Schizosaccharomyces pombe: one gene and its partners. The protein of the gene in region 1 purifies or fractionates together with the protein of each later gene. This does not show direct contact. Each region holds a gene or a part of one and is shown in the gene's direction. Other genes may lie near its edges.

Evidence for each region.
Region 2: the proteins of rrp43 (region 1) and mpp6 purify together in Schizosaccharomyces pombe (affinity purification with mass spectrometry, with the first as the bait; one study listed by BioGRID). This does not show direct contact.
Region 3: the proteins of rrp43 (region 1) and ski7 purify together in Schizosaccharomyces pombe (affinity purification with mass spectrometry, with the first as the bait; one study listed by BioGRID). This does not show direct contact.
Region 4: the proteins of rrp43 (region 1) and cti1 purify together in Schizosaccharomyces pombe (affinity purification with mass spectrometry, with the first as the bait; one study listed by BioGRID). This does not show direct contact.

Annotation. Positions count from the first base shown.
Region 1 is NC_003423.3:3,331,182-3,339,064, reverse strand, and holds rrp43 (exosome subunit Rrp43), read left to right. Parts: upstream 1-6,119; 5' UTR 6,120-6,295; coding exon 6,296-6,339; exon of another isoform or gene 6,340-6,437; coding exon 6,438-6,773; intron 6,774-6,879; coding exon 6,880-7,312; 3' UTR 7,313-7,383; downstream 7,384-7,883. Other genes in the region: putative ATP-dependent RNA helicase Dbp3, read right to left, coding at 1-314; protein rhs1, read right to left, coding at 2,849-3,955; RNA polymerase I upstream activation factor complex subunit Acr1, read right to left, coding at 4,710-5,462; dph2 (diphthamide biosynthesis protein), read right to left, coding at 7,569-7,883. UniProt on the Schizosaccharomyces pombe protein: Non-catalytic component of the RNA exosome complex which has 3'->5' exoribonuclease activity and participates in a multitude of cellular RNA processing and degradation events.
Region 2 is NC_003424.3:2,888,076-2,894,411, forward strand, and holds mpp6 (nuclear exosome-associated RNA binding protein Mpp6), read left to right. Parts: upstream 1-2,000; 5' UTR 2,001-2,082; coding exon 2,083-2,109; intron 2,110-2,145; exon of another isoform or gene 2,146-2,164; coding exon 2,165-2,704; 3' UTR 2,705-2,812; downstream 2,813-6,336. Other genes in the region: iph1 (metallopeptidase), read left to right, coding at 1-1,873; gor1 (glyoxylate reductase), read right to left, coding at 3,141-3,183, 3,235-4,100, 4,357-4,452; SPOM_SPACUNK4.20 (uncharacterized protein), read left to right, coding at 4,476-4,700; SPOM_SPACUNK4.09 (uncharacterized protein), read right to left, coding at 5,897-6,336. UniProt on the Schizosaccharomyces pombe protein: RNA-binding protein that associates with the RNA exosome complex.
Region 3 is NC_003424.3:5,317,452-5,327,410, forward strand, and holds ski7 (ski complex-interacting GTPase), read left to right. Parts: upstream 1-4,929; 5' UTR 4,930-5,075; coding exon 5,076-5,271; intron 5,272-5,326; coding exon 5,327-5,800; intron 5,801-5,860; coding exon 5,861-6,832; intron 6,833-6,872; coding exon 6,873-6,957; intron 6,958-6,994; coding exon 6,995-7,355; 3' UTR 7,356-7,624; downstream 7,625-9,959. Other genes in the region: zip3 (ZIP zinc transporter 1), read left to right, coding at 488-1,849; plasma membrane heat shock protein Hsp9, read right to left, coding at 2,948-3,154; U2 auxiliary factor small subunit Uaf2, read left to right, coding at 8,160-8,810; SPOM_SPAP8A3.07C (phospho-2-dehydro-3-deoxyheptonate aldolase), read right to left, coding at 9,269-9,959.
Region 4 is NC_003421.2:2,037,535-2,045,939, forward strand, and holds cti1 (Cut3-interacting exosome subunit Cti1), read left to right. Parts: upstream 1-3,706; 5' UTR 3,707-3,749; coding exon 3,750-4,151; 3' UTR 4,152-5,177; downstream 5,178-8,405. Other genes in the region: met1 (uroporphyrin methyltransferase), read right to left, coding at 418-1,908; SPOM_SPCC1739.08C (dehydrogenase), read right to left, coding at 5,748-6,533.

The DNA of each region.
Region 1 (7,883 bases):
AAAGAAATATTATGCTTCTTAATGTAACGGTCATACGCTTCTTCATCATTATGATTAGAAGCGTTAGCTGAGCCGATCGCGGGTTGTGCGATTTTTGCTCCCTCTTCCGCATTGATTTCTATCGATTCTTCTTTAGTTTTTGATTTTCCTTTCTTTGATTTCTTTTTATCCTTTTTTGAAATTCTATCCTTGTCGGCAGAGGGCTTATCTTTTTTATGCTTCTTATGCTCATGCTTTGATTTCTTCTCCTTTCGCTTAACAGAAGCTTCTTCATCCGCCGATCTTTTTAACTCTTCCACTGATCGTTTCGCCATTTTTAAAAGGAAAGCTTTGAAGAGAAAGGTTAGAGTAAAAATATGCAAAAAAACATTTTCCTTCAGAGATATTAACGTAGTAACCAAGTAATTGTTATCTATGCTTAACGATATATACAATATTAAAATCCTAAAACAAAATTGCATTACGTTCTTTTCGCGCTATGTAAGCTATTGTATCCCAGATTTTTTTTGTTACTAACAAATTGGTCTTGTAGTACGAAAGATAATGCTCACAAAATTTAAATAATTATAGATTAAAAAAAATCATTCTTTATATTTTCATTAAAAAAATATATCCAGCTGGCTGTTTTTTGTTTGATTGTAGTTGTTTCATTATATTACTAGAAGGATAATAGTTACTTTTTGTGATAAGAATATCTAATAAGATTATATATAGGTCATTAAAATCTTTACCACAGTATATTGTTTTAAAAAGCCGCTAACAAGCTAGGTAAACAGAGGCAGTGAGTGTGTTTCGTTATTAATTAAATTTATTGTTTCAAAAAATTATTATCTGTCTAAATAATTGGAAGCATCCTGTCAATTGGTTTTTTACTAATTACGAAATTTATTAACATAATTAGATTGGACAGAGATTGGGTTGTGTTTTGAGAAATAAGCTAGAAGCAGTGAAGTAATGGTTGCGCCCCATTATTCCGTTTTAGAAAAGACTGTTGTCTGTATGTATCATGGATTAACTTATAAATGCAGAATCCTTTTTGATCATCTGCTATTAAATATTGCCAATGTATTATTAACATCGGTTAAAGAAATACATAAGGGTCCAAAGCGCTTTTAGGAGTAGGAAGCTAACTGCATATTAGAATATATATTACCATTGGAAATTGCATAATTAAGAGGTATGGATTTATATGATTAGAAGTCGCAAGACTTTCTACTTAATCTTTTAAAATCTACAAAGCTGTTTTGAAATGATTGCCATTGCGTTCGATGTGTGTAACCTGATACTTGAAGTAGAAGTAATCGAGTATAAAATTGATTTATTTATGTTTTTTAATTAAATTTGTGTTTCATTAATTTAGCTAAAACCAACTAAAGAATTTCAAGAGTCATGGGTTTTCTGGCTTGATATTTAACTAAGTAAGGTTTATTAGTATAAATTTGGAAGTTTTTTACAATGTTCGAATAATGTTGTCTCTCTCGAGTTTACTATCAGACATATTCTAAAAATATTAATTGAACAAGGTTAAGTGCCTATCGCGGTTAAGCAATAGAGGCGAACCTAATCAATTTCCAAATTGTCTATAGATTTGCTATCTCGTGTAATTTAGTTACGGATGTATGGGAGACGGATACTTTTTTTTTTACCTCCTAGAATGTCAATTAACTAGCATTACTACATTCACGATTACTGACTACTCTTAATTTTTTTTTTTTAAGAATCTTCACCATATCTATTATTTGTATTCTAATTTTCTTTATATAATGTTCACCTTTTAAATTTCTCACATATAGCGAACAACGCTTCCGAATCGGTAGTAATTTGTACCAACTTTATGCGAGCGAAATAACGGCCAATAAATGTTACTATTCATTAACTTAAATCATCACTAATTAACATGAAAGAGTACAATGAAGTCCAGGTTTGCTTTATATATGTGAATTAAATACTATAAATTATTAATAAAAAAAATAATTTCTAACCAAATCTAGTTTATCAAGTAAAATAAAATTGATTTTGAAATTTGGCTACTTAAAATTTTAAAAAAATATTTACATCTTTATGCTGTTGATTCACCCCCCTGAAATAAATCCAGATAAAGAGCACGATGGCCTGTGAAAGACAAAACTTCTGCACAGACGTAATATCATAAAAACCAACAACCTAGACTCAAATGCGATTGACCATGCCGTTTGCTGTGACAAGAAGCATGCGATGCACTCAAGAGTAGTATACCCATGTACGATAAGAATCCCCTAACTTTGATAGTTCAAACTAAATACCAATAGAAATATCTAACTCTCCCATTTTTAACCACTGTCCTCTCTTTTGTCAAGAAAATGCAAAGATTTATCACCATAAACCTATGTGCCGAAAGTAATAGTCAAGTAACTTGACATTTTCTTCAATCCAGAACCTTCTCACAAAACAAACTATTCAACCAAGCAAAAACCCTTCCCACACTCAAAAGTTCTTAGGAAAAAAAACCATACCTTTAAGCAACGTCGACAATTCGTGAAACACTTTTAAAAAACATAAAAGTGAAAGCGAATTAAAAAATTGCCGGCAACTTATTTAACAAAAAAGTTACAATTTTTCTGTTTTCCATTTTTAGAAAATAAAGAAATATCTTATGCTCACAATATTAGGATAGAAATCATCAGCACCAATATTAGATTTCCTTATCTTATTCGAATAAGTTTCCAATGAGCGCTTTAAAACAACAGAATGCCCACAAATGCAAAAGAATTAAAATTATAAAGTAATAGATCACAACCTTCAAAGCTCAACCTATAAATAAAATACTATTCCGTGTCCAAGAAAGTTCCGCATCAAGAAAATGTAGCAATTACCACACGTTGACACCTCCAAGAGTACTGGCACAGGGAGAAGACCAAATCTGAGAACTTAAAGCAGAAGTTGAGTTATGAGATTTAGATAGAGAGGAAGACAATCCAGACATATCATGATTGTTCCCGCTGTATTCTTGCTTGAAGTCCAAACTTAGTGTTGGTAGTGAAGAAGAAACAGAAGAGCCAGTGGACTGCGGAGAATCAGCAACAGCAGAAACATTGTTCACTGCTGTAACTGGTGTGGCATTTCCATTGGCAGCCGGTGGATTTGGAGGCCTCAGCGTTTGGTCAGTAGGAGTAGAACTATTACTGAATGCGATCTCTTTACGAGAAGGACGCGTACCGATCGGAGCTATCGATGAAGGTCGACGACGAGAAGGAATCGATAAAGATTCCATGTTAGCGGACTCTATGAAAGAAGAGGGCGTAAAGCTATTTGAAGCAGATTCAAACAACGAAAACCCAGCCGATTTTGAAGAAGAACGCAATGAAGAGGAGAGATTAGAAAGCCCACCAGATGGTAAACTAGCAGCACCGACAGTATTGTAAGAAAAGGAGGAGCGTGTCGGAGTAGCAAGATCATAATACGAAGAACGTGAATGATGAGCACTACTAGAGAGCAAAGACGTTGTGGATCTCCTGGGATGTAGTAATGAGGTACTAGCTTGTGAACCGAAATTGGAAGTAGCATTACCTGGTAACGAGCTTCCGAGCATGCTGGAACCAAAACCACTAGAACCGACCAAACCACTTGCCGGTTCAGCAGGAGACGTACCCAGCAGATTAGAGCCTGCAGTAGGGGTGCTCGAAAGTGTGCTTTTTAACAAACCAGAGCTGGGAACATGACTCATTGAAACACTGCCATTTAAGGCTTCGCTCAATGCACTCGTCGAAAAGGGGTTGTTCACTGAGGAGGCAAAACTATTTTTTCGACGAGGTGCAATCATACCATTTTTTACGAGATTGTCATAAGCCGATTCAACTTCTTCAAATTGACTTACAAAAGCCAAATCGTCCTCTGGCTGAACAACATTTGTTGGACCGAGCCCATCCCAATAAGAAGCGGCCGAAAACCAACTGTTGACTCCATCTACAAACGACATAAAGACAACTCGTTGTTTTTTTGAAATTGGCCTATTTTCAAAGTTTTAACCAAACGTTGTTTACTTCAAAAAAAATTTCCTGCCAATTGTGGTTTGCTTTGGATAGGTTCCTTTCACAGCGTTTACCAAGGAGCCGCTCCCAATATTTCGCTAACTTTTGTAATCGATAGTCTATTGTAACTGGGTTGCCATCCGGCAACTGTTCGTTCTTCGCTTCTCTATGACTTTTTTACTATTTCCGTAGTATTTGTTATCACTTAATCTCCACATTTTTTCTACATCGGACTTCAAGTTACAGTACCACGTGCCGCCCTTATTTTAAACGAACACACCATCAGCTTTGCATAGACTGTTAAATAGCTTATACAATTTAGTAAAACTGTGTAACTTAGATATATTGGAAAACAGTATCATAACAGTAAAGATTTAACCTCAGCAAATACTTGCCACTTCCAGTTTAAAGTGTAGGATGAACTTGTAAGCATGATAAAGTTGAAACAATATTCTTGTTGCGTAGAACCTTTTTCCTAGATCAACGCAAAAACAAAATAACTTAAAAAAAAAGAAAAGAAATTCGGATGCAGAAAAACTATATGTGCAAATACGGCGGGAGTTACACAAATAATTAAACATATACATCAGCCAAAAGATGTTTACTGGAACATTAATTGTTGAGACTTACGCAGATTGACCTGTTCACAGATGCGTGTTTTTTTTCAAAATACTCATACTTATTAAATTTCCCACCAATTTCTTAATCCTCAAATTCTATCGAGATTTCTGGGTTAGAGTGTGAAACTTTTTCAATATCAATACTAGGTTGTAACGACATCTCTTTGAATAATGATTGACAAGCTCTTGTACCATTGCCCAATGCAAGAACGTCTGCTTTTTGCGACGAGGAAAACGAACCGTTTGTGACTCGAGCAAGTCCGTAAAGAATCTTCCAATCCATAGGCTTTACACGTGATTGCATGCTTTTGCTTCCCTGTTCTTGTCGAAAAGTATCAACCGAATCAAAAAGGCGTTCCAATTTTATCTGTAACCTTTCAACCAAGTATCGGAGGCCATCCGGATTAGGCAGTTCCTCAGAAGAAGCCATTCTACCCAACTTGTGTAATTTTTTTGATGCTAAACGCACAGCCAAATATGCAGCCTCTTGGCGAAACCTCGAAGCCGAGGTTCCATCAAAAAATGATTCATCGGGGATGGAATGAATTGTAGGCCATACTGCACGTAGACGTGGTGGAATCCTTCGTTCATAACCGTCCAAATCGCTTTGCAATTCATTTCGACGAGTTATACCAGCTTTATAACTGCAATAAAGTTGAATACACAAATTTTTCATCTCAGATCTTCTCAGTTCGGAAACAATTTCTCGATACTCTATTAGCTGTGCGTATAGAGCATCTTGCTTTCGCATTTCTTTTTCATCCGAAGTATCCTGAGAAGAGGAAATATCCTCTTGACTTCCTTGCTGCTCTAATTCTTCCTCAGAATCATTCATAGCATCATTTCCTCAGAAGGTTTAGCATCCGGCTGTTGTGTTCGTAGGCTAGAGGTTAAGGAAAGGTCATTGTACCTGGCGCGATATTAAGTGTGTTTACTGACTTTTTTTTTTAATTTCCTTTAACTATAATCTAATAGAAAAAAACTTTTCCTTTTTTTTATTAATATAAGACTTTTGCTTCGTCTAACAACCGATAAACTAAGAGTGTGCAAATTTTGAAATATAAACATGCACCCAAATAACTTACTTTAATTTAAGAGCTATATATTATGCTACTTACCAAATTCCGTATGTATTCTGCTGACTTTTAATTGTTTAATTATGCCTTATTTTCTTTAACCATGGATCATTGTAAATTTTGTTATTTTACCTTTTTTTAAAAAAAAAAAAATCAGTAGAAAAGGCCTTAAATAAATTTTTTTCGAATTAGCATTTTTAAATGTTAATTATGTGATCTCTTTTTTCAAAATCGTTTAAACGAATTGGGATTTTGTAGCTAAAATTCAAATGAATTATCAATCCTTAATTGAAATTTGCACCGAATATACCTTCAATAAATTAAAAAAAAACCAAGGAATTTAAACATTTTAAGGACCTCACAAACCTTTTATTTACCATATAAGTTTTTCATACTTTACTTCGTACACCTATTTCATCCCTCTACTCCATTTCATAATTTCAACCTGTAGACAAAATTCAGCACATATATCGAATTCTTGTGATTCATATTCATTTTATATATTTTTCAGTATCGTTCTTCAGTTATTTGGTCTTTCTACGTTACTATATCATTTAGCTTCGTTATTGAAACACTACATTCTTTTCACATCATGAAAACTGTTTCGGGGGTAAAACAGCTTTCATTTACACCTTCGTAAGTTGCTCTTTGATTTCTTATTCTATCTTTTTTAGTGCTCTGTTTCCTTTTCACTTTGTTTTTCTTTGTTACAGTACTAACATTTTACTGGATAGAATTTTTAAGAAAATCACGCCTGAGCAGTATTTATCACATCTTCTTAATCAGGATGTTCGATCAGATGGGCGGTCTGTATCAGAATTCAGAGAAATTGTAATTAATGATAATTGCATATCTACTGCTAATGGTAGTGCTATCATTCGAGCTGGCGAAAATGTCTTTGTGTGTGGAATAAAAGCAGAAATTGCTGAACCTTTTGAAAACTCTCCCAATGAAGGTTGGATTGTTCCCAATCTTGAATTATCACCTCTTTGCAGTAGCAAATTTAAACCTGGCCCTCCTTCTGACTTGGCGCAAGTTGTCTCGCAGGAATTGCATCAGACTTTGCAACAGTATGTATCAAATTATTGGAATTTTTCTAATTTTCTACCATACGTTTCATTTATTGTTAAACTATCATTTAGAATATTTAGTTACTTTTACTAACAACTTATACAGATCTAACTTGATTAATTTACAGTCCCTATGCATTTTTGAAAAAAAAGCAGCCTGGGTATTGTATGCTGATATTATTTGTTTAAATTATGATGGAAGTGCCTTCGATTATGCATGGGCAGCTTTGTTTGCCGCTTTAAAAACTGTTAAATTACCAACTGCTGTTTGGGATGAAGATTTAGAGAGGGTTATCTGTGCTTCTACCCTTACAAGACCAGTTCAATTAAGTACTGAAGTTCGTTCTTTCTCATGGTCAGTATTTGACGACAAGTTGTTAGCCGACCCTACAGACGAGGAGGAGGACCTTTCAACTGAATTTTTGACAATTATGCTTAATAGCTCCAAAAATATTGTTAAGATAATAAAGCTTGGAGGCACTCACATTCAACCCCTTTTATTAAAAAAGTGTATTGAGGTTGCAAGGTCTAAGTTCTAACAAATTTTTGGGTTATCAAGGTGTATAAATTTTGAAAGTTTGAAAATATTCAAGTTCGTTTTTAATGCTTGAAACGTAATATTGATCTTGCTGTAATATAAAATACTATAGTCATAAAGCTAATTGATTTTCAAATGCTGTAGGAAATTTTTTTTATATAACTTATGAACCCTGTTTATCTCCTTTAACCAGTAAACTTTTTTTTGTCAAACTCTAAAACACAAGCATAGGAAGAATGATCAACTCAATACCCGATTTATTTACCAAAATCACGTTGAATCTTTTCTTTGCTGCCTTCACCAACATATCCTTTGGCGATGCCACTCTGTCCTTCGTATAATTTACTAGGACCTTCTCCTTCATCTACACTGTCAAGTCCCGACCAAGATTTTGACTGAAGAAACGCCGCTGCTGGAGAGTAAACCCCGTTCACTGCAAGACTTCTCATGCCACGCTTTTCTATAGAGGCTGAGGACGAGTCATTATTCTTTGCATCGGCAGTCTCAAGAGTAACGTCTAAATGTCGCATCGGGGTTGAATTCACAAACTTTCCAGTAATCAGACTAAAGTG
Region 2 (6,336 bases), on another chromosome or scaffold:
TTACCAGAGGGTTATTAAAATTTTATTTGAATATATAAGATTGCTCGACCAGACAAATGCTCACAAGTTTTTATTTGAAGAAACCCGTATCATGTCAGAGGCTCAATTTAAAACGAGACAAAAAACCCCTGCTTACCAGTATGCGCATGTTGTTGCTAGCAAGCTTCAACGAGAATATCCTCGTGATAAAGTCCTTTATTATTCCTCAGTACTCACTGAATTTGACCCTAAAGGTATTCAGGAGGTTGTTGAGAGTCTTCGTCCTAATAACTTTTTTGCCATTTTAGCTGCTCATTCAATTGAGAAAGGACTTGATAATAAAGAGAAGTTCTATGGCATAGATTACGGATTGGAGGATTTGGATTCTCAGTTTATAGACTCTTTGCTACATATTAAGACATCCAGTGAACTTTACTTGCCTTTGGCAAATGAATTCATTCCTTGGTCTTTAGAAGTTGAAAAGCAGCCAGTAACGACGAAACTGAAAGTGCCGAATTTGGTGCGAAATGACAAATTTGTAAGATTATGGCATAAAAAGGATGACACTTTTTGGGTACCTAAAGCTAACGTTTTCATAAATTTCATATCTCCAATCGCCAGGAGGTCTCCCAAAGTTTCTGTGTCGACGACACTTTACACGCGATTAATAGAAGATGCTCTAGGAGAATATTCTTATCCTGCTAGCTTAGCTGGTCTTTCCTTTTCACTTTCACCATCTACTCGTGGCATAATACTTTGTATTTCAGGGTTTACTGATAAATTACATGTACTTTTGGAAAAAGTAGTCGCAATGATGCGTGATCTCAAAGTTCATCCGCAAAGATTTGAAATATTAAAGAATCGCTTGGAACAAGAACTTAAAGATTATGATGCTTTGGAAGCATATCATCGTTCAAACCATGTACTCACATGGTTGAGCGAACCGCATTCGTGGTCAAATGCTGAGTTACGTGAAGCTATTAAAGATGTCCAGGTGGGCGATATGTCTGATTTTATTAGTGATTTATTAAAACAAAACTTTTTAGAATCTTTGGTACATGGAAACTATACCGAGGAAGATGCCAAAAATCTTATTGAATCCGCTCAAAAACTGATTGACCCAAAACCAGTCTTTGCATCCCAGTTGAGCCGTAAAAGGGCTATAATAGTTCCTGAAGGTGGTAATTATATTTACAAAACTGTGGTGCCAAACAAGGAAGAGAAAAATTCTGCTATTATGTATAATCTTCAAATCAGCCAGCTTGACGATGAAAGATCTGGAGCCCTAACTCGACTAGCACGGCAAATAATGAAGGAACCCACTTTCTCCATCTTGCGTACTAAAGAACAACTTGGTTATATTGTTTTTACTTTAGTTCGTCAAGTCACGCCTTTTATAAATTTGAATATTTTTGTGCAAAGTGAGAGAAGTAGTACATACTTAGAGTCCAGAATTCGTGCCTTGTTGGATCAATTCAAAAGCGAATTTTTAGAAATGTCCGACGAGGATTTCAGTAAGCACAAATCAAGCTTGATTAACTTTATGCTCGAAAAGCATACAAACTTAAAAGAGGAATCTTCTATGTATTGGTTACGTATTTGTGATGGATTTTATGACTTTACCAGATTGGAAAAGCAAGCAGAAATTGTGTCTACCATTACCAAGGATGAGTTTTACAGTTTCTTCATAAACAACATTCATTATGAAGGAGAAAATACTAAAAAAATATCTGTGCATGTTGTTTCTCAACGCTGTGAAGATGAAGTTTACGAAATTCCCAATGTTACTATCATTGAAAATGGCAACATGTTCAAGGAAAGCATGACATTGAGTAAAGCGGCTTTCCCACTTAAACCCTTTGATGAAATCGATAGGTCTTTATTATTTAATTAGTTTTTTTTCCCTAATCCGATTCTCAAATTTACTGATTTTATATTCTCATCTTAATTTCAGTTTTGCATTCTGGCACTGCGGTTTTTCTCGCTATCCAAACAAGTGTGACGAGACCTACTCTTCTGCTAGCTGCAAAGTCTCTTTTTCATAGATTTTGTAAGCAATAGTAAAACAATTGTTTTTTTTTATGATAAGATATTTATTTTAAAATGTCGTCTAAACTTCTTTCTATGAAAGTACGAAATTTAGTCAAATTTTTAAGAAAAATTTCTACTAACCTGTATTTTGTAGTTTATGCAACGCGCTCGAGGCATTGACCCGAAGCAAGCAGAAGAAGAGTTAAGCAAGAACATTGTTACAGATGAGCATTGGAGTCTTGCAGGAAAAGTTGATTTTTTACCCCAAAAGATGACTCGTAATGTAGAATATGAATCGGGTTATGGGGGTCTGATTGAAGAAAACGATCTTGAAAGTCATTCAAATGAACCTAATTTAGTACAAGGAAGAGCTAGCTTTGGATTATTTAATAAGGAACTAGGAGAGGAAAATGTGGATGAAAAAGATGTTTCTAAGAATGAAGAGGTTGATGTAAACGGTACTAAAATAACGGACACATCGGAGCTTACAGAAAGAGAACGTCGTAAACAAGAATTAGTGTCTAAAAAGGCGGAGGCATCCCGTAAAATGGAGGTGAAGGCCCCGGCAAAGGAATCCAAAAAGAGGAAAGTTAATGAGTTGTCTCAAGATGTCATTTCTCTACATTCCCCCAAAGAGTCCAATGCCCGAAAAACAAAGAAAAATAAAAACAAAAAGAAGAAAAAACGCAACTAAGAGTTGCTCATTTTTTTTTTCAATTTGACTGGACGTTCATTGTATGAATAAGGGATGTGAAGCATTTTTGGGTACTGTAAATATTAATTAAAATTTTCTGAATTATTATCATGGTCCTTTCTAACTGTGTATTATTAAACCTGGAGAAAAAAAGAGAACCGCTACATATCAACGATGCTTTTTTGCTATTAAGATGTAAATGTAAGAGTTTGAAACTACAGCAGTAGTTCATCGTTGTCGTTTTACGAAATCTGCTAGGGAGAAAGAATGAGAAAGAACAGTAGAAATATGTATTTACTATATAATGAAAATAGTCATGAATAGACCATAATTTGAGACGAATGAATCAATATTTGAACGACCGTATAACATAAGCATATAAAAACATTTAAGTCGATTTACGTAAAGCCGAGGTAAGTAGACAGAAAAACATAATCTACTCTATATCACCACGTTGTTCAGGAACCAAATTGGGAAGTCTAGAAAAAAAGTTAGAAATTGAAAGAAAGGGGAAAAACATAAGGACTTACGAATCATTGACAATTCCATTTTTGACGTTCATGAGAACAGCGCATTCCATTTTGTATTGGGTCTCAAGACTGTTTGTACCTAAATGAGGAAGAAGAATCACCTTTTCGTTCTCCAAAAGACCAGGATGAATTTTGGGCTCTTCTTCAAATACGTCAAGACCGGCAGAGTAAACGATGCCTTCGTCGAGAGCTTCGACGAGAGCAGCTTCATCCATAACGGCACCACGTGCAGTGTTGACGATGACAATTCCACGCTTCATCTTTTGAAATTCTGGTTTTCCAATGATATGCCGGGTGTGAGCATTCAAGGGCAAATTGAGGGAAAGCACATCTGACTTGGCTAAAAGATCGTCAAATGAGACAAACTCGGCACCTTCAGCTTCTTCCTCGGGAAGGGGAGTACGATTGTGATATACGATTTTCATGTCAAAGGCGCGAGCACGCTTGGCCATGGTCTTACCAATACCGCCCAAACCCAAAATACCAAGCGTTTTACCCTCGGGATCATGAGAGGGTTTGCAATTTGCATTCCAGTTGTTCTTGTGTAACTCAAAGATACCTTGGTTAAATCCACGAAGGGCACCTAACATTAAGAAGATACCAACGTCGGCGGTTGCATCGTCGACAGCCTTGGGAACGTGGGAGACTTGAATACCACGAGCGGTACAAGCAGCCACATCAACAGTTTCATAACCAGCACCCAAATGGCAGATAAACTTGACGGATGGGGGCAAATTATCAATGATTTCCTTGTCAAAAATGCCCATGTAAAACTTGGAGTTGTAAGTACGACAGATGGCCTTTACATTTTGAAACTCGGTTTTGCATTTGGCCAAGAAGTCTTCGCGAGTGCCATCGCTGTAGGTCTAAAACGACATTAGTAAACAAGAACAGGTAAACACAACTAAGCGCATATGTTGAGGTTTTGTCGGGAAGCTAGGAGATCCGCTAGATAGCCAAGAAATCCAACAGAATCGCAGAAGCAGAGGACGAGGGAGAAGAAGCAACAGAACAACAAACAAGCAATCACTCTTGAATTTTTTAGTTCCATATCCTCTGCTCATCCTTCAACCTCCATCTCCCACTACTGTCCCTTCTTCCCTCCCTTCTCTATTTCTTTACCTTCAACTCTGCATATTTTCCAAGAGCTTCCCACTCCTTATGAGCGTGCTTCAAAGTGCCAACGAGTAAAGCTGCAGGTTTTCCACTAAGAGTCATGATGAATACAAGTCGTTGAGAGGATGAGACGATCGATTGATTATTTTACAGAACCTTCGTGCTTGAGTTCTGGTATAGTTGATATCTTGAATAAAGGCTTTCTGTCAAACAAAAGCAAATCGCACACACAAACACACAAAAAAACCGCTGTACAACTATTTAGAAATCTCGAGTTGAGTACAACAAAGAATGTGATGGAGATGTGGGGAAAGCAGGATATTCTTCGCTTTTTATGCTTTTCTGAATGAACAAAAAGGCAACGATTGTAACAGCGATAGTTGAACTTAGGTTTAGTAAGATTGGTTAAACAGCGGAGAACTGAGGTGTTTAATGTCTAGATCCCGCACTCTGCGTTCTTTTCTTACGTACACACGCACTCTAAATAAGACTATACCAACCTGAACCAACTTGGTCAAATCTTAAGGATTAGTGTGCCTGCTGTTCCACTGCACTTAAATAGTCTTACCGGCTTATCTATGATGTTCGTTATCTATGGATCACGTGGGAGACGAAGGAGGAGCACGGTACATGATGCTGATATATGGAGATTAGGAGGATGGGCGTGGTACATGGAATTGTAAGCGAGCGTGCAAAGTAGAAAGAAAAGTCCACTAACAAGAGGAGAGGAAGTAGAAAGGGAGAATGTGTGAGTGGGGGGATGCGAGTGATCGCTGAGTGCAAGCATCTGTAGAGTTAGTGGTAAGAAAACATGGTTAGGAAGGATGGAATTGAAACTGGTTTAAAAACTCGAATTGTAGTGGTACAAAATGAAACACATAAAAGTAGCGATGCAAAAACATTGGATCAAAATATCCGCATATTCCGAGGACAAATACGTTGCGAACACAACTACTTTTTACTCATCTTCCATTTGTTTGTCGCCATAGATTGAATCGATAGTGTAGGGGAGCTCCCAACTTATAGATGATCAACACTTTTTTCGCAACCAAAATAGTCACTTTGGTAGTACAAGTTTAGGACATTTTTTCCAGGTGTGCATGCAGAGACAAATGGGACTCGTAAATTGGTACTAATTCGTTTGTTTGTTTGAAAATCACCGACACACATTCGTCTACACAAATCATCGCAATCTCATTGTATACAAAGTGCCGGTTCACACTTCCACAATTTATAACCCAGATGCTTCATTAGCTTAGAAGCAGATAAATCTGCTTGACTTGTTTCTTAGTCATAGTATTCATTTCATCTACAAAAGTGTTAGAGACACAATCTAGTTATTCCCACTTGCTTCTTAGTAATGTTTATGTTGTAAACAATATTTCCTCAATACAACCAAGTCATTTCCTAGTCATATTATGTCTCATCAACAAATTATTACATACGCACACTTCAAACCAGATCAATAAAACTCCCTTGTTACAATCAAACTTTTAATAAAGCAAATAATTTTTTCAATAAACCTTCTAAATGTTTTTTCCTCTCCCTACTCTACCTTTTGAGCAAGCAAAATTTGCACTGGACGGCCGTCTTCGATAAATCCAATCTCATCTTTTAAAACCCTAATTCGTCCATCCGACTCTGAAACTATTGCTGCCGCTTCTCCTTTTTCGAATCTATGATCACTTCCTCTAGGATGTTCATACTGATGCACCCCATCGTTGACAAATGTACACAAGAAGAGAAATCCGTTATTTCTCAATAATGAAGAACTTTGTCTCAGCAACGCACGGTTTAAGAATCGAATTTGTAGAACTAAATCGTATTTGTAAACATCACCTTCTGGAACGTTTTGAAAATCAGCTAGCATATCTGCCAAAGAGATTGCCGTTGCGTTTGGCTCTTGTTTTCCATCTCTAGTATACAATTTCCATAATCCCGATGCATCTACTTTAGCAACTTTTTTTCCTTCTATCCTATCCTCTA
Region 3 (9,959 bases), on another chromosome or scaffold:
CACGAAAAGTGTGGTGCACTTGATTGGAAAAAGCGATAAATAAACCCCATTAGTTTCTGTTTCTTCTTTTTCTCGAATTTAACATATTCCTATAACATTGGCTGTAACCTTTTAAATGAATTGCCAAAGTCATTTTCCATCATCAATTATCTACCTGTATTTAGAAAGGAAGAAGTATAACAGAAGCACACACACCCAAATTTACTCACCCGAATTTTTATTGATTTCAAGTTCTTGTCGTAAATATAAAGCATTCATCTTTTAAAGGAAGAATTAACGAGTTCCCATTCGAATAACTTTTTTGTAAATAATTACTTGGAAGTTAGGTAACATCAATAGTGAGTAGGCAAGTAACAAAGGAGTACCCTATTATTGGTACTGTATTGACGCATTATAGCCCTTGGCCACAGATTTTCAAAATTCACCTTCCCCTTAAACATCAACCTGGCATTTGGGTTTTTACGGGATTTCATCTACTATTTTTAAAATGTTTTTATTGCAACGGTTTTTCATTTATGGGTTGTTTCTAGCATGTTTTTATACAACGGTGTTTGGAGAAAAACATTTTGAAGCGGAGGAATATAGAGACTCCTTTTTATCGCAGGAAAATATGAATAAAATTAATCATACAACTATAGAAAGGTTGTTCCGAGAAATGACAGAAAACGATCCCTCTTTGCTTTCTTCCTCAAAAACTCTGGCTGAACTTAGTAAGGGAGAACTTGCTAAAGCACGCGAAGATTTGAAGAGCGTCTTAAGTTTTTTGAAGAATAATCTGCCTGTTGATACTGAATCATCGTCAGAGGCTTTTACTATAGAGAAAGACAACAATTCTTGCGTTTGGTTGAATTCAGTTAAAAGCTTTGTAGAGAAGCAGTTCTCTTACTCCTCGGGAACGAATGGAATTCTCGCGACTTTCTTAACAGCAATACCACCTAACATTTTTATTCTTCTTGTTCCCAAGTCGTTCGACACGAGTATGTTAAATCTGTTCGTGGCAGTTTCTGCAGGTAGTTTATTAGGCGATGTTTTTCTACAATTACTTCCTACTGTGTATTCGACAAATGGAGGAGATTTTCCAGCATCTTCTGTTTATTCAATCCTTATTGGAGCCCTAGTATTCTTTCTAATGGATAAGGGAATCCGCATTTTAATACATGAGCGTCCGTCTTCGCTCTCTAAGCCAAAGAAAGACGGTGAAGAGACTTCAAGTGTAAACAAACCTTCTGCTTCTTCAACTCAAACTGACGTTAAAGGAGTGGAAGGATTGCGGAAACGAAATGTCAAAGATGATCAGAACTCTAAAGGTCACGAGCCTGATTTGATTAGACATGTAGTTGAAGAAGTTAGTGAAGAGTATAACGACAAAACTGTGGTATATTTAAATTTGTTATGTGATTCATTTCATAATTTTATGGACGGTTTGGCGATCACTTCCGCCTTCTTTACCAATACCTCCATTGGCATATCCACCACATTTGCTGTTCTATTACACGAAATTCCAGCAGAAATTGGTGACTTGGCTATACTTCTGAGAAATGGGTATACGAAATCGCAAGTACTCGTGTTGCAAATGATCACTATGGTGACGGGATTATTGGGAGCAATTGTCGCTACATATATATACACTGCTTCATCTTCATCTTCACCATATGGTTCTTTCCTTCTACAACTTGAGGATAAACTCCTTCCTTTCACGGCTGGTGGTTTCCTTTATATAGCTTACCTAGGCGTATTTCCCGAGCTTTTGGAAATCAACTTATCAAAAGGAAAGCTGGGAAATATGATTTACACGGCATTGTACATGATGTTTATTGTTGGAGGTTTTTCTTTTTTATATTATGTTTAAAGTGACAGATAACTTACATTAGGGCGTGGTATGGAGTTGATATTGTACTATTCTAGAAATATAAATCGGGACTAATATTTTTTGTCCTTCATTTTTTCTGGCATTGTGCTTTGTCTTTACATTTAATATTAAAAAATTACACATTTATGAAGATGTGTAGAAACATTATTTTAGTTCTTTTATTAACTTGTTAATTATTATGGTAGAATTAAGTTGTTCACATTCACATAAGGCGCTTTCGTGTTCAAACTTGTAATTTTTGATCCCTCTTATTTCAAAATTTACGCGCTTTAAATCGTTTAAGAGTATTTTTATTTCTTTTCCATAACCTGTTTCTATTCTAGCTGACAGAAAAGATTGTAAACAATCGGCATTGAGAGTAAACAAATAATGCCAATTTAAAATAACATTCAATGTTTTTGCTTTTCATAAGCGAAAACACGTTTTGACCAAACCTGACAAGACTAAAACTATATGGAATATTATTATTATAAGGGTAAAGGAAACGAGTAAGAATTCAAGGGCAATAAACAAAACATCCTAACTTTTTTACCGTTGTTTCTATCACCATCCTAATGTTTTGAGTTTTCATCATTGTAACATTCCTATGTCAAACAGTGGATGAAAACACTTGTTACCCAAGTCACAACTACTAACTGTTTTACAGTACTGTTTTTAAGTTACTCGTTACTTATATGTAAACAATACAGTTGCTAGATATGGTAGTAAAAAGTATATAGGGTATAAGGGAAAATATATTTCATTACTTCAAATCGATAAAGATTTTGAACCAAAGAATATATAAGCACCCACTTTTTGAAAAAAATTTGTAAAAAAAGTCGAGCAAATATATATATATGATGGTATCACGTAACCTCGTTATATATCATAAAATTAGATGGTAATTGGTCAAGGATGCAACCTCGCATTAGAAAGTGATGAGATGGATCGTTCATAAAAACAATCCAACCACTACCTACTAAATTGAGGAGACCTCAAACCATTTTCGTCCGTTCATCGGTAAAGAAATCATCCCGATGCTTTGGTGGATTGAGTTTCACCAGCCAAAAGCATGAATTTTAAGTCATAAGAACCTCTTTACAACTTGTCATCAACAAAGCGTTGAGCCTTGTCATGAGCCTCTTGAGAGGTGCTCTTGTCCTCGTCAGAGGTAAAAGCAGAGGCGACCTTGTCGTAGGCACCAGTAATGGATTCCTTGGCCTTGTCGAGGGTAGACTTGGAGGAGTCAGGAGTCATTTTCTCCTTGCCTTGTTCAGTAAAAGACTTTCTTGCGGGATCAGACATTTTGAATATTTAAGACAATTAAATTGATTGGAATTGAATTGAATGATTAAACTGTTGAACTTGGACTCGTATTTATAGCTTCTTGTCCAATTGCTCATGTCATTATGATCGCAGCCCATTACATCACATTTGCGTCAGTTAGCATTAGAAACTGGAGAAAACTGCGATCCAAGGAATTACGTAGTTTTCTATCAGATAGCTCGCTATCCAATCAGACAAATAATGAGCAGCTTCTAGCAAAGCCCCTTTTCTTCGCACCATTCGTTTTCTGAGCTACGTAAGCTATTTCCAATGAGCGCCCACTCTACTTTCTTATGATGTAATACAGAAGCTTTGTGGATTTGCAAAGCGAGATAGCGAGTACGGTAAAACCCTCGCTAGGTTAGAGGTTCAAAGTGGAGAGAAGCGAAGTGGTGGTACTAGTTCAAAGAGAGAGAGAGAGAGAAAGAGAGGAAGAAGGGGAAGTGCATCTTGTCTTTAGAGTGAGTATCCCTTAGGAAACAAACTTATTTCTGTAAATAAATTTTAAGAAGTTTTCTTTGTCTTTTAAAATTCCGAAGTATTCTTTGCATGATGGTGTTGTTATTGGGTGATGAAATTTTGATCTAAATAGGGGAACTTCACTTGTTGAAAAAAAAAACAATTAGAGCAAAAACAATAACACTTTGCAAAACGTTATTTAAAAGATAACCACAACCATGTTCAAAGTGAGTATGGCTTAGTAGAGGCAATCTCATTCAGGTATTACACACACTGCGCACAATAACACAATTGTTTCAACGCCGCACGTATTGCATGCGATACATCGTGAAATTCCGTTATAAGCAGGGAATATTACGAGATGCTGCAAACTGCGGATTACACAACTACGCAATAGAGAGTTGGTAAACCATTATTTTGTTAGACGAACTGCAATGATGGTTTTGTTAAATCAATAATAAGGAGAAGTAAGGTGTAGCTAAAGACCATTTATAATCTTTTAGGAAGCGTAACCCAAGGTGTGTAACCCGAAGTAGAGAAGAAAAGATGATACGTGAGAAATGTGAGATGAGAACATGAGCAAAAGTAGGAATGGCTCGACGTTTTTTGGTTTCTTTTTTTTTTTTTTTAAATTGATTTTATTTTATTTATTTTTAACTTTATAGAAATTTTTTTATTTTTTTTCTTATTTTATTTAATTTATTTATTCATTACAGCATTTCGAGATGGTTTCAATATTTTGTTTCTCTTTATTAATTTTTTTTTTTTTAAAACAAAGAAAGAAAGTGAAAGAATAAAATAAACTGGCCATCTTCTATTATACCCATTCTCAACAAAAACTCTTTTGAATGTAGTCCAATCACCAAAGCAAAAAAAAGTAAATTCAACTCAATCGTTCTTCCTTTTCTTTTATTTACTCGTTTTTTTTTAGGGATTTCGCTTCATACTCGTTTTTTCTTTTTAATATTCATTCCATTTTCTTTTCTTGAATAATTCGTTTACTCCTTTATTATTATTATTTTTTTTTTTTTTTAAATTTCATTCATCTTTGTATTTTATCTCTCCGTTTCACTTCTTTTCGTTCATTGTTATGGTATTCCTTTCCACAACTCCTTCACTTATATACTTCTTGTTTGCCTTTTTCTTTTCGCTTGTTTCAGTCCACTAATCATCAACTTGAATCTGTTTGCTTACTTGTATACATACCAAAACCTTTCTCATTCGAGTATGTCTATCATACCACCCAATTTTCCATCTGACTATATACAGTATATCTGATTCGCTTAATCCATCCTAACTTCTCGTCATCCACCTTCCAATTTAACATTTTACGCATACATGCTAATGAGCTTTTGAGCAATTGATTTGCATTTTGTATATTATTATAGACTTATTTAATGAGTAATTTTTTTGTCTCGATCCATCATTTTCATTTAGAAATATGTCTAGGTTGTCTCAGTTGTTAAACTCCAAAAAAGCAAAACAAAAACCTCCGTCTGAACATCCCATCGGTCTTTCTTCTATCCTAAAACAAGACTCCTCTTCAAGTTCTGATTCTCCCAACTTTTTTCCATCCTCCAGCACAAATGACCATCAAGAACGTGACACAATTAACGACACTAACTTTGTAGTTCCAGGTACGCCATTATAATTAGTCACAAAAAGTGGAGAACTAGAAATTAACATTCATAGAGAAACAAAAAACATCCAAGCTCGCATTACTCGCCGCTGAACGGAAAAAATTGCATTCTTCTTTTCCATCCACTCAACAGCAGCCGCCTAAAACCGAAAAGGAAAAGGAAAAAGAGCCTATTCAAGCTAAACATAAGAAAAACGTTGAAAATGATTTTTTGTTGCAAAGGTTTCGAAAGGTTCGCATTGCAGAGAAGAAAGACTCTGAACAACCATCGTCTCATGAAATTCATCTTACTGACGATGATGATAAAACCACACTCCAAAAACAAATGGTGGAAAGCGACCAACTGAAGAAGAACCCCCAAGAGGTAAAATTAGCTCCTCCTTCCTCATTTGCGAAATGTCTTACAGGCGCAAAGAAGCGCGTTTTTGAGGACCAAATTGAGATTCATCTAAGCAAAAGTTCACTTTTAGGATTTAACGCCCCTAGCCCTGACGACATAGTTTTGATGGCTCAATCTAAATCTAAAAGTATGCTTTGTCTCCTTCAATTCATCTTTTCCTTTTTTTTTCGCGCTAATTGTTAAACAGGTTTCCAAAAACACAAACGTTTGGACGAGCAATTGCTAAACTCTGTAAAGTCAATGAAGAAAGTTTCTCAACAATTGAAACCTCAAAAAAATACTAATGATTCAAATAATGATCACACCTTACTTTCCCAAGATCAGTTAATTGAACTTTCCAAATTAGTAAAGCCTCGAACGAAACTCTTGTTGTTGGGCCCGCCCAAGTCTGGTAAAAAAACACTCCTTTCTAGATTATTTTTTCAAATTGGATCATTTGATCCCAAAACCATGCAAAAATGTACAGTACTGAATGCCAAAAAAGAAAGTTTGAGCTCAGTGCTAAAGTCCACCAAAACGAAATGGTATGATTTTGAAACATTTTCCAACAGTTACTCCTCAACTATTATTGATTTTCCTTTAGGAATCTTCACTACTAATGCAAGTTCTCGAGATAATTTTCTAAAACATTCAAGTTTGTTTCAAGTAATGAACACAGCCATTTTCACCATTGATTGTCTGAATCCTTTGGAAGGTCTTGATGGAATATCTTCCATTTTACAATTGATGAATGGCTTATCTATTTCAAGCTATATGTTTGCTATCACTAAGATGGATGAAATTGAGTGGGATGAAAATAAATTCATTAATCTTGTTAACTCGATTCAGAGCTTTCTGAAAGAAAGTTGCGGAATAATTGAGAAATCAAAATTCATTCCGATAAGCGGACTAAAAGGAACCAATCTTACATCCATTAGTCAAGAAAAATTATCCCAGTGGTATAAATCTGATACATTGCTTGGCAAAATTGATAAAGAAGCAGATACAAATCATGGCACATGGAATTTTCTTCTTAATCTACCTCTCTCTTTAACAATTTCACACATTACTCCTTTGCCAGAAAATCAATCACATATTTACTGTAGCATCCATTCAGGCATGCTTCAGGATTCGCAAAAGCTTTATGTAGGCACAGGGAGATTAGAAACACAAATCACAGGTACGGAAGGTGTTCAATTATTTTATGTTAATCAAAAAAGGACTGAGCAGTGATGAAAATCCCAAAGGGTTTAATGTTGCTGGGGATATGATTCAAGCCAAAATCCCTACATTACCCAATTTATGGTAAGTTCTTTGCAATTCTTGTATTTCTAATAAATAGTCCTGGGATTTTAATTGCTGATAGTATCGATGCCTTTACTTCTTCGAAAACTGCTTACGTTAATGCAACTTGGTTTCACGGTTCTCTTGAAAAAGGAAAGTCGATGCATGTAATAGCCCTATTCGGCTGTCACGCAGTCCTTACCAAACTGTATTGCTTTACAGACAGTCAAGAAAAAGCTCCTAACGCAATCGGAAACGATCTTGAAAGAAATCGAACCTCACTTGTGAAAATTGAATTAGAGAATGCTTTCCCTCTCGTAAAAGAAAGCTACATTAACACCTTAAGCCGCGTTTTATTCGTTTCAGAAAAATGGAATAGCTTAATTGCGTTTGGAACAGTACTATCTCTGCATGACTGAATCCCTAACTTACGTATTATACTCAACTCCATATTAATTTTGCATTCGAAAAAATTTTCCGTCCTTTTTAAAGAAATTCTCTATAGATTGTTTTAAATATTGTAAAACTACCGATGTTGTTCATTTGCGTACATCTCAGGCATCGTGACATTTGGAAACAATTTGTTCTCGAGTAAATTTCCTGAGCAAAAAAAAGGAATGTGCTGTGTTAAGAATAATTTATCTTTTTTTCTTTTGAATCGTTGGCACATCAGTCTAATAACAGTAACTACTTATTCTTGATATTTTCCAAATTCGAATATAATTAGGGAAATACAAGGGAATATCTGTATATCGGATAGTTGTAAGCTACGCAGTTTGGTATCTGATTTAAGGATACGTAGAACTGTGGTGAGTTTTCCTTGTGATCTATTATATTACAATACACAGGTTATATAAGTAGCAACTGAGTATAGGTATTGTATTAACTGGGTTATAATGTTACCTATCACTAATATAGCTCATAACTGAACTGAGGAACGAGGTTCAGCAGTAGCTCTATTTATAGTATTCAGATAATATAGATCTTAATAGATTATCATTAAGATCAATCTCCATATCGTATCATACATGGTACGATATATAATTAGAACATGTGACATATAGTGATACGCAACGTAGTGTATCATAGCGTAGTGTAGTACTGCTGACAATAGTGTGCAAGAATAATTTAGAAAATTTGCGTAACTTAACGAGATGTTGCACGCCACCATTATAAGACTAGAATCATGTTGGATCACTTTATTTCATAACCACCATATAAAAATGGCAAGTCATTTGGCAAGTATTTATGGTACTGAGCAAGATAAAGTCAATTGCTCATTCTATTATAAAATAGGAGCTTGTAGACATGGGGAACGCTGCTCTCGTAAACATGTCAAACCAAATTTTAGTCAAACGATCTTATGTCCCAACATGTATAAAAACCCAATTCATGAACCAAATGGCAAAAAGTTCACGCAGCGTGAACTTGCAGAACAATTTGATGCATTCTACGAGGACATGTTTTGTGAGTTTTCAAAATACGGTGAAGTTGAACAATTAGTCGTCTGTGACAATGTTGGAGATCACTTAGTCGGAAATGTTTATGTAAGATTCAAGTATGAAGAGTCTGCCCAAAATGCTATTGATGATTTAAATTCCCGATGGTATTCCCAAAGACCAGTCTACGCCGAGTTATCTCCTGTAACTGATTTTCGCGAGGCATGTTGCCGGCAACACGAAACTTCGGAATGTCAGCGGGGTGGCCTTTGTAATTTTATGCATGCCAAAAAACCAAGTCCTCAGCTTTTACGCGATTTGGTACTAGCACAAAGAAAGTATTTGGCCTTAAATGCAGCAGAAGAAATGAAAAAGGAGCCCAATAGTGATTCCACGAATCGATGGGTCAGTGTAACTGCTGAACGCAAAAATTAAATAGCAACTTATGGAATGTATTTGTTTTGGATTCTGGTTTGCTTTTGTACGGTTTTACTTCGTTTATTATGATTAATCTCTGGCTATAGTTTGTTGTGATTTAGGTTATTTAAATAGATGTTGCATTCTTTTATTGTTTACTAATAAACTTGATCTTTGTACAACTGTACTCATAGACGTTTTAAATTTTGTGTCCAATGTGCCTATGGCTGATTACAAGCTAAAGGAGATCGATTAGAAACATATGAAACGATCAAACATTTCGCAAAACTTGCACAGCAATTCTTAAAAACGAAGGTGTTATTGGTAGAAGCTGTGTACGATATAAGAAAAAAAAAACAAAAAAAAATAAATAGAACCCGTATTTAAGCCAAAATTGTTCAGTTGTTGTATGTTACGAAAAAATAAGTTTCAAAAATTAAAAAAATTAAAACTGCTGAATATAACATTTATATGTCTTAATTACTTTTTTGGTTTTGACGGCGAGCACGGACAGCTTCAGCAAGATCGTCTAGCATTGGAGCAGTTTGTTCCCAGCTAACACAAGCATCAGTGATACTGACACCGTACTTGAGAGTATCCTTAACGCCAGGACGGATTGGAGCATCTTGACGACCTTCATTGATATGAGATTCAATCATAACACCAACAATGGAAGAGTCGCCATTTCTGATTTGTTCGGCGATGCTCTTGGAGACCTTTGGTTGGTTCAAATGATTCTTGCTTGAGTTGCCATGAGAGCAATCGATCATGATACGAGGAGGAAGGTTGGCCTTCTCAAGATCTTTGCGAACGGCGGCAACGTGCTCAGCATCATAGTTAGGACCCTTCTTACCACCACGCAAAATGATGAAGGTATCCTTGTTGCCCCTGGTCATGGTAATAGCGGCGAGACCTTGTTTAGTAACTCCTAGCATTGTGTGAGGATGGGCGGTAGCACCAATGGCATCAATCGCCACACCAACAGTACCATCAGTACCATTCTTGAAACCAACAGGGAAGGAAAGGGCAGAAGCCAATTCACGATGTAATTGAGACTCGGTAGTACGAGCACCGATAGCACCAAAACTGAGTAAGTCGGCGAAGAATTGGGGAGAAATGTTGTCCAACATCTCACTGGCCAAAGGAATGCCAAAATTGGTAACGTCG
Region 4 (8,405 bases), on another chromosome or scaffold:
TATGTTGATTCTATCTATTTGTTCATCTATCCTTACATTTAAAATAACAGGTTATGATTGTGTATCTTTATTTAGCAGTTGCTAGTAATACAGATGAGTATAGTACACAAATATCAAGCCAAAATATCTTTCCACTGACCATTAGAATTGTTTTAAATTAAAATCATACTAAAAATAAAAGAACTGCTGTATACAAACAGAGTAAATAATGAACTGGCCCCTGAACAAGTACAAACCAAAAATTAAACCATGAATAAATATTTTAAGAAGAAACAACGAAGATTAAACTGACCGCATATTATCCAAAACAACCTAAGAACATGAACATTGAGGTCGAAAACAGTAAAAGACTTGCTAAAGGAAGATTAAAGACGAACCTACTACATATAATAAAGGGAAAATAATTCATATAGATAGTTACGCGGTGTTGCGAAGGGTATTACAACTGTATCCAGTAATCAGCAAACCAGGGGGGAGAGACTCGTACTTGTTGTATTCTTCCACAACGTCTTCCAAAGTAGAGAAAATGAACCTTTGATCAGGGCAAGAGACGCGCTCAGCTATACAAACCGGTAACACTCTAGGCCAACCGCTTTCAATTAGTGCTTGCACAAGAATTTCTAGTCGGTGTAAAGCCATTAGGAAAACTGTGGTCTGTGTAGGGACAAAAGAAGGTATTTTAGGCATCGAACCCTTTTGACCAGTTCCAGTACACACAAGAAATTGATCGGCCACTCCACGATGTGTAACGGGAATACCAGCAGAGATAGGGGCCATCAAAGCACTACTGATGCCAGGAATAACCGTTGGTACATAACCGTGTTGTGTAAAGAATAGATACTCTTCACCGCCTCGCCCATAAATATAAGGATCACCTTGCTTCAAACGGACAACATAATCACCTCTAGATAAAGCATCAAAAGCAACCTGGTGAAGTTCATCTTGTGCCTTATCCGCATTTCCAGGAAATTTTCTAGCAATAAATAGTGGAGTATGCCTTGGAATTAACTGTAATACCGCTTCTGGTACCAGCTTGTCGGCTAGTACATAATCGGCTTTCATTATAGCCTTTCTGGCAGCAACAGTAAGTAAATCAGGAGAGCCAGGTCCACTTCCAATTAAAGCTATTGAACCTCGCTTATGAGTAGGAAAAGCCTCAGGGTCAAGCGTCAATGAAGGCTTGTCCAAGGTGGTTGATAAACTTTCATAGGAGTTGGCAAGTGAAGAAGATTGGCTTGATGAGAGTGGAAGAGAGAAGTTGTCAGAAACTATGGCAAGAAGATCGTCCTCTGTCATCCGAACCAACTTCTCGAGGGGCCAAAAATCACTAACATGATTGATCCACTGTTTTTTTTCTGGAGTTTTAGTGATCGCTCGCACTCGGCCAAAACGCTCAATGGCTTCTGGCATACCGGAAGGAAGGCTACTCACCACGTGTCTCAACAGCCTTTGAGCTAAACGACAACCATTTGATGAAGTACTTAAAGAAATTTGAAGAGGTGGTTCTGACCACGTAGCTGGTAGAGTAAAGGAGCACAAAGAAGGATTATCAATGATGTTTAATGGGATTCGGTACCTTTTGCACGTACGATGTAAAATTTCCTTTTCATGGTGGTTGGACTCTGACACGAAAACAGCATCCACCAAAAAATCTGTCTCCTCCTTTCCCAGCGTCGTTAATGAACGAACGGGATCAAATTCAGAAATGGGAAGAATTTCAATAGCATCCGATTTTTTTGCGTCAAGCTGAAGATGACCAACGTCAAATCCACCATCAGCGGAGCTGCGACAAAACCAAAAAATTTTAGAAGAATTTTCACTTAAACATAAATTCACCCGTCGGTAAGCATTTTTTCCTGAACCAACGACTACAACAACGGCGTCTTTCAAGGACCAGGAAACAATCATTGTAGTAGTTTCTAATAGGTTAACTCAGGTGTACTTGGTAGAGAATAGGTTTTTGCCCAAAATTTTTTTTTAATCTCCAAATATTGCGTCAATCTTATTTTCCAATATATATATTTTCACTTCAATTTTTCACAATTTTAGTCACTTCGTTTTGGATTGTCTTGGTGGAGAAGAAGAGCTGCTGGCTGAAGTACTGCAAAAACCAGACTTTGTTGTTCTACGCAAAAATGCGGGAAAGAAAGGAAAGAAATATCTCATAAACCAACAATTTAGCCTTTAGCTTAAGTTACAAATTTTAATTCTTTCTACGAAGCAATCGAGCAATTGATTGCAACACTATTAAACTGATTGATTAACTTGTAGAGAAAGACAATTGTGCAGTGGTCGTTAAACCTCGGTAAATTGAATAAAGATTTTCAACGATAATGAAAACAATAAATAAATTTTGTACTTCCGAATATCGCTTTAAATCCTCTTTACGTATTACAACAACCCGTTATCCGACCTCCTTCCTTGTTCTTTTCGCTTGATGAGCGTTTGAGGTCTTGCCTACACTTTATATGACTGCATACATCAATCACCAAATGATGGCGCAATTTGCTGCAAAAATGATTGATCGTTAAAATTTTTTTGCGGAATACGGTAATCAACCAATAACCATACTTCTTTAAACCAGGTAAAGTACCAGCGGTAGAGCTCATAAAATATTTCTATCAAGGCATCGTTATTGCACGATATAGTACAAAAATAACCTTGCTAGTTAGTACATGACGAGTCCCTTAGTCACTGTAGTTTTTGCTAATTAACAAGTTAACTTGCATGATAGCTTTCCTCTAGCTTTGGGGAAAATTTGGCTTAGTAAGATAATGAGTAAAAAGTTTTAAGGAAGTACGCTTTGATATTCACAAAAAAAGAAAATGCTTTCGAACTGCGTTACTTAAGTATGAATGCAAACATCTGAATCCTCATATAAATAACAAACCACAATAAAAAAATGGCCCACTTGTAAATGTCATACTTCCTCCTAGCCAAATCAGAGATGTTAATATATATTATGTTTAGTGATAATGTTGCTCACATAGGCCTTAACGTTAACGAATTTTTGTAAGCGCTAAACGCATATTTTCCGTATTCATAACTTTACATTTTCTTCATGCATGGGTGAACTCTCTGTTGACGGCGAGTTTTCTTTTCTTTTTTTCTAAAGATATTTCAAGAGGCGAATCGACTTTTTGAGTCAAGCGAACAAGTGTAGCCTTGAAAAATTAGAACTAACTTTTAAGCGAATAGTGAGTTACATCGTATTTTTAATATTCCGTTAAACATGGTAAACTAAAGTTCAAATTGTCAACAACACAACAATATACTATGCTATACTGTATTGCGTCACACGTCACTATATGTTCACATGTTCCATTTACATATCGCACCGCAGATGATACGATGTTGATATTAATTTTAACAATAATCTATTAAAATCCAAATCATCTAAACAACGTAAATAGAGTTACTGCTAAACCTCATTCCTTACACAATTATAAGTTGTATTTGCAATAAATAACAATACAACTTGATAGTACAATACCTACACTCAGTTGCTACTTATATCACCTGCGTATTGCAATAATAATAGGACGAATGAGAAACTCATCGCAATTCAATGTATTGTTAAAGCAGATACCAAACTGCGTAGCTGATATACAAAAAATTTGAGGATAAATTAGCCAAGGGCACGGTATATTGTGTTACATACCTGCTTTCGACGTTTTTCTACATTTTGGAATTGAGGACAGAAGGTAGAATTCGCATATATCCACAGCCTGTCTCTCTGTCTGTTAAACATGGACCCAGAGTATTCTGAGCTGTTTGAAAGATTAAATAAGCAATTAGATAACGTGGAAGATGTTCTTAAACCATTGAAGGATGCTGAATCAATTTTTGAACTTGCTGAAGGAAAATCCGAATTGGAACAAGCAAAGTTATATATCACCATGTCCTATGCCATTAATTCTACTCTCTATTCTTTTTATAAGTTAAATGGAATAGACGCTAGTGAGCGACCCGTAATGCAAGAATTGCAGCGTGTTAAAAATTACATTAGCAAAATCCAGCAAGCTGAAAAAAATGTGAATCCCAAAACAGAAGCGGTAAATACGTCCAACGCCGCTATTTCCTCTTCTTCTTCTAATCGTCCAAAAGTTGCTAAGGACGCAGCTACTCGAATCATTAAACATCACACTTGATAGACGTTTTTGTTTCTTCTATTGACATGACTTTGGCTCTATGGATTAACGGGTGATAACTTACGAATGAAAAAAGTAATTAATTTTTTTTTTAATTAATATACATGGAATTTGGAGCTAATGGACGGATTTTACCGAAACTGTCTCTTTAGTTGCCTTTTTTTTTCAATTTTTTTTATTATTCGAGCGTAATACTTTGAAACAAGGATTTATCAAATATCAAAAAGGATTCCTTTACTATGTGCTTTAACTTTTTTTTTTTTTTACATACTTTGAAATTCATGTAAATGAAAGCGATTTTTGTTGAAGGCACTGTGTTGAATGGTTCGGTTTAGATGCATGCCTAAATTCTTAACATATCCTCATAGAAATGCGAAAACGTAGACGTGGAAAAATTTGTTTTTTATTTAAAGTATGTTTCTCTAATTGCAAAAATGAATATGGAATAGAACAATTATTGTCTTTTTTTAATGTACAATTTATATACAGTTTGTTTTTTCTTCTTTGTTTTTGGTTTTTTCTTTTTTCCATACTGGAGAGCTTTTAAACACCATGCAGTGGTGTAGGTTTTGATAACAAGTCGAAGAAAAGATGTCGGTTCTTGCTTCAATCCTCGTTCTTTCTCTCTTTTGTTTTTTAGTTCTCCTTTATAATAAATAGGTGTAGATGGTGGGGATTGATAGATTGAAATTAAAAGAGAGAGAAAGAGACAGAGGGAGAGAAAGAAAGAGAGAACAAGAAAAAGATAAAGGAATATATACAAACGGACTGGATATTGGGGAAAGTGTTTAAGAATTGTTGTAGGATTGTTAATAAGGATATCCTTCGATTGAGGGCGTTTGTCTTATGTTAACAAACGAATTTACATATGTTTTTTCGCATAAGCTAATGAGCCAGTTACTATTTGTTATTCATGACATGATAAGTAAAAACTTTAGAAAAAAAAGAAAAAAAACATACAAAGATCCATACTAAAGCTTGTTTCGAATCAATCAATCCCTGTCACAACCAAACAAACAATACGAGAATCACTTGTAAGGAAAAAGCAAACAAAAAAAATTTGTAGTGTAAAGCGCAACTAGGCACTAAAAGACTATATGCAATTCCCACTATCCATACCTGTCAAACAAAGCAAAGCGAAGCGACTTGACCCGACGCGACGCAACGCTGTGATACGAGTAGTTTAGTGGGAAAAGCCAAGGAAAATCAAAGAAAGCAATATAGGAAAAAATGGCCAAGTAAGAAGATACTATGTATGTGCCAAACTTTTTAAATTTTTGGAGTAATTGACAAAGTTGATTGGAAGAATATAAAAAAGAAAAGAAAGGTAATTGAGCTCTAGACACACACACATTTCATAAGGAATCTGGCCAAAAAAGGTAAACGTTAAAACTAGAAATTTATGAAAGAGGAGGAAAAGAGGTAAAGTAAAGAAAAGAAAAGTAAAGCAAAGTTAAGTTGAGAAGTAGAGAGTAAAAAGAAAAAAAAAAAAGGAAAAGAAAAGAAAGAGATGAAATGAAAATGAAAGGAATAGCAAACTAGCTAGCCTAGCTTTAACTAATGAAAATTTCTCTCTCTTTCGCCTCAATTCATTTCTTAAAGACAAGTATAACCGCCATCGACAATCAAATCCAAACCAGTAACAAAGGAAGAAGCATTACTGGCGAGATAGAGATAGGTACCACGTAACTCGGGAGTCAAACCAAGACGTTTAAAGGGAACATAGGGTTCCCATTGTTTTAAAAATTCATAGCCAGGCATGTCCGTAGCGAAGTATCCGGGAGAGACCGAGTTGATACGAGCAAATTCGGCCCATTCAACGGCTAAAGCCTTGCAAAGTTGTCGAACGGCAGCCTTGGAGGCACAATACGCAGCGATATGTTGAGGAGCGTTGACGATAGTAGCCGACATGGAGGCAGTTGCGATCAAATTTCCGAAACCTTGCTTTTTGAAAATTTTCCCCATGTAATAGGCAACGCGATAGACGGAATTGGTGTTAATGTTCATAACCTTTTCGAATTCATGAGGAGGAGAATCGAGAACGGACCTACGGAAGGGCATACCGGCGTTGGCGACGACAACATGAATCTCCTTAAAGATTTTTTGAATTTCCTCGACGCCGGCCTCGACGGTATCAGAGCGAGAGATGTCAATTTTGAGGGTATGAACTTGAACACCCGTCTCCTCGGCCAGTTTCTTGGCCTTTTCAGTGGGATCGGTGGTGAGGTAGGTAATGATTACATTACCTCCGGCTTGAGCAAAGGCAGTAGCGATGCTGAAACCGATACCTTTGGCGGCGCCAAAAACGACGCAGTTCTTGCCCTTGAGGCTAAACAAATCCAACACATGGGCGGTAGTGACATTAGCAGGGGGAGTCGACATGATGAATGATGGGTTGACAAGAGAGAAAAGAATAAAAAGAAAAAAAAAAGAAGAATATAAAAAAGAAATGGAGAACGAGAGAGAAAGAGTTTAGAGTAAAAAGTTGAAGAATAAGAAAATTAAAAAAATTGAAAAAGAAAAAAACTCAAAAGGGAGAAAGTTCTTGGATTGATAGACAAAGAACTATTTAACTCGAAAATTGAATTGAATTGATTTAACTTGACTTTGATGTGGATTTGCTCAAACTTTGCTTTTTGCTTTGCTTTGCTTGGCTTGGCTCGACTTGACTTGACTCTTGTTTGTTTGAAAGAGGAAATCGTCCTGTATTAATAACAAAAATCCGCATCTTCTCGACACCATTTTACCTTTGCGTTTATCAGCGACACCAACTCAAAAAGGCTCGATTCGAATATGTCATCTTGCTCATTTCATCATACCGATTCTACCAGACCTACTCTAAACAAGCCTAGCTCACAACATTCATGATAACGGATGGATAGACTGGCGTTGAACAGTTGGGGTAAGGCCACCTCACTATCGCCAAAGAGGGCAAAAGCTGGTGTCGAGAAAGAAGAACAACAACGTAACGCCATTTCACCCATTCAAATTGTGGGAAGACGGTGGTGTATGTAAGCGGGCAAGGTTATGAAAGCGAGCCCCTTATTTGCTAGAGCTGCCTTTCGCAAAATGTTTAACTTTCCAATTAGGTGGAGAAAACCCCGCTACCCCACTCTTATTCAACGTCATGTGCATAGTAGAGTAAAGGTAAAATGATTAAGCTTTGGAAAATCCATGCACGCCCACGAGAAAAGAAAAAATTGCAGCATTCAAGCACAACAACGCATGAATGCATAAATGAGAAAGAAGGTTCAAAGGAGAAAGGCTAAAAAGTGGGGTGAGAAGAGGAAAAGAGAAACGAAGGAATAACAATGAAAAAAATAAATAAACAAATAAATAAATAAAATTGAAAATAAAAATTAGTAAATAAGGTAAGGAAGGAGAAATAAGGAAATACATAAAGGGAGGGGGGAATAAAAGAAACGAAGAAAGTAAAAGTAAATAAATAAGGTAAACAGTAACAAAGAAAGCAACGAAAGTAAGGAAGCAAGGATAGCAACGTGAAGCATACAAGGAATAGCAACGAGCAAGGAAAACAAAACGCAACGTGAAGTAAGGCAAAACAAATTACGACGGAATTTACAACAAAACAAATCGCAAGGGTGAAGCAGAGCAAACAAAAACAAATTACAACGCAGCTTACAACAAATCCGCTGCTCAAAACAAAAACAAAAACAAATCCACTACTGAAAACAAACTGCTACGCTCCCACAATCATCAAAATACCTCCACACATCCCTAATGGAAGCACACAGGACTTACCCAGCATTGCCTTTTCACAAGCCAGCCGAGCACAGGCAGTCAAGAGGATGGACCCAGTGGAATGAGCGAGTTGGTAACAAGGGCGGTGTGAACAGAAGAAACGAGATGAGTGAAATGAGGATGTTTTCTTTTTTTTTACTAAAGCTAGACTAAAACTAGTAGAGTAGAACATTTTTTTGTTTTCATTCCTCCTTTTTATTAAATTTTTTGTTTTCATTCCTCACTTTTATTTTTGGTTTTCATTCTTCCCTTTTATTTTTATTTTTTAGGGTTCATGTTTCCTTTTTTCCACTCAAGTTTTTATTTTTATTTTTTTTCCCTTTTATTTTATTTTCTTTTCCTTTCGTCTCGTTTTATTTCCCTTAATTCCTACTTGGTGTAACTCATCGCACAAACACCACGCTACCACTCATAGTCATATTAGGTGCCTTTGGATTATTTGCTCGCTGCACCATTTTTCTTCTCCTTCCTTTTCCCTTTTACCATGTTGCC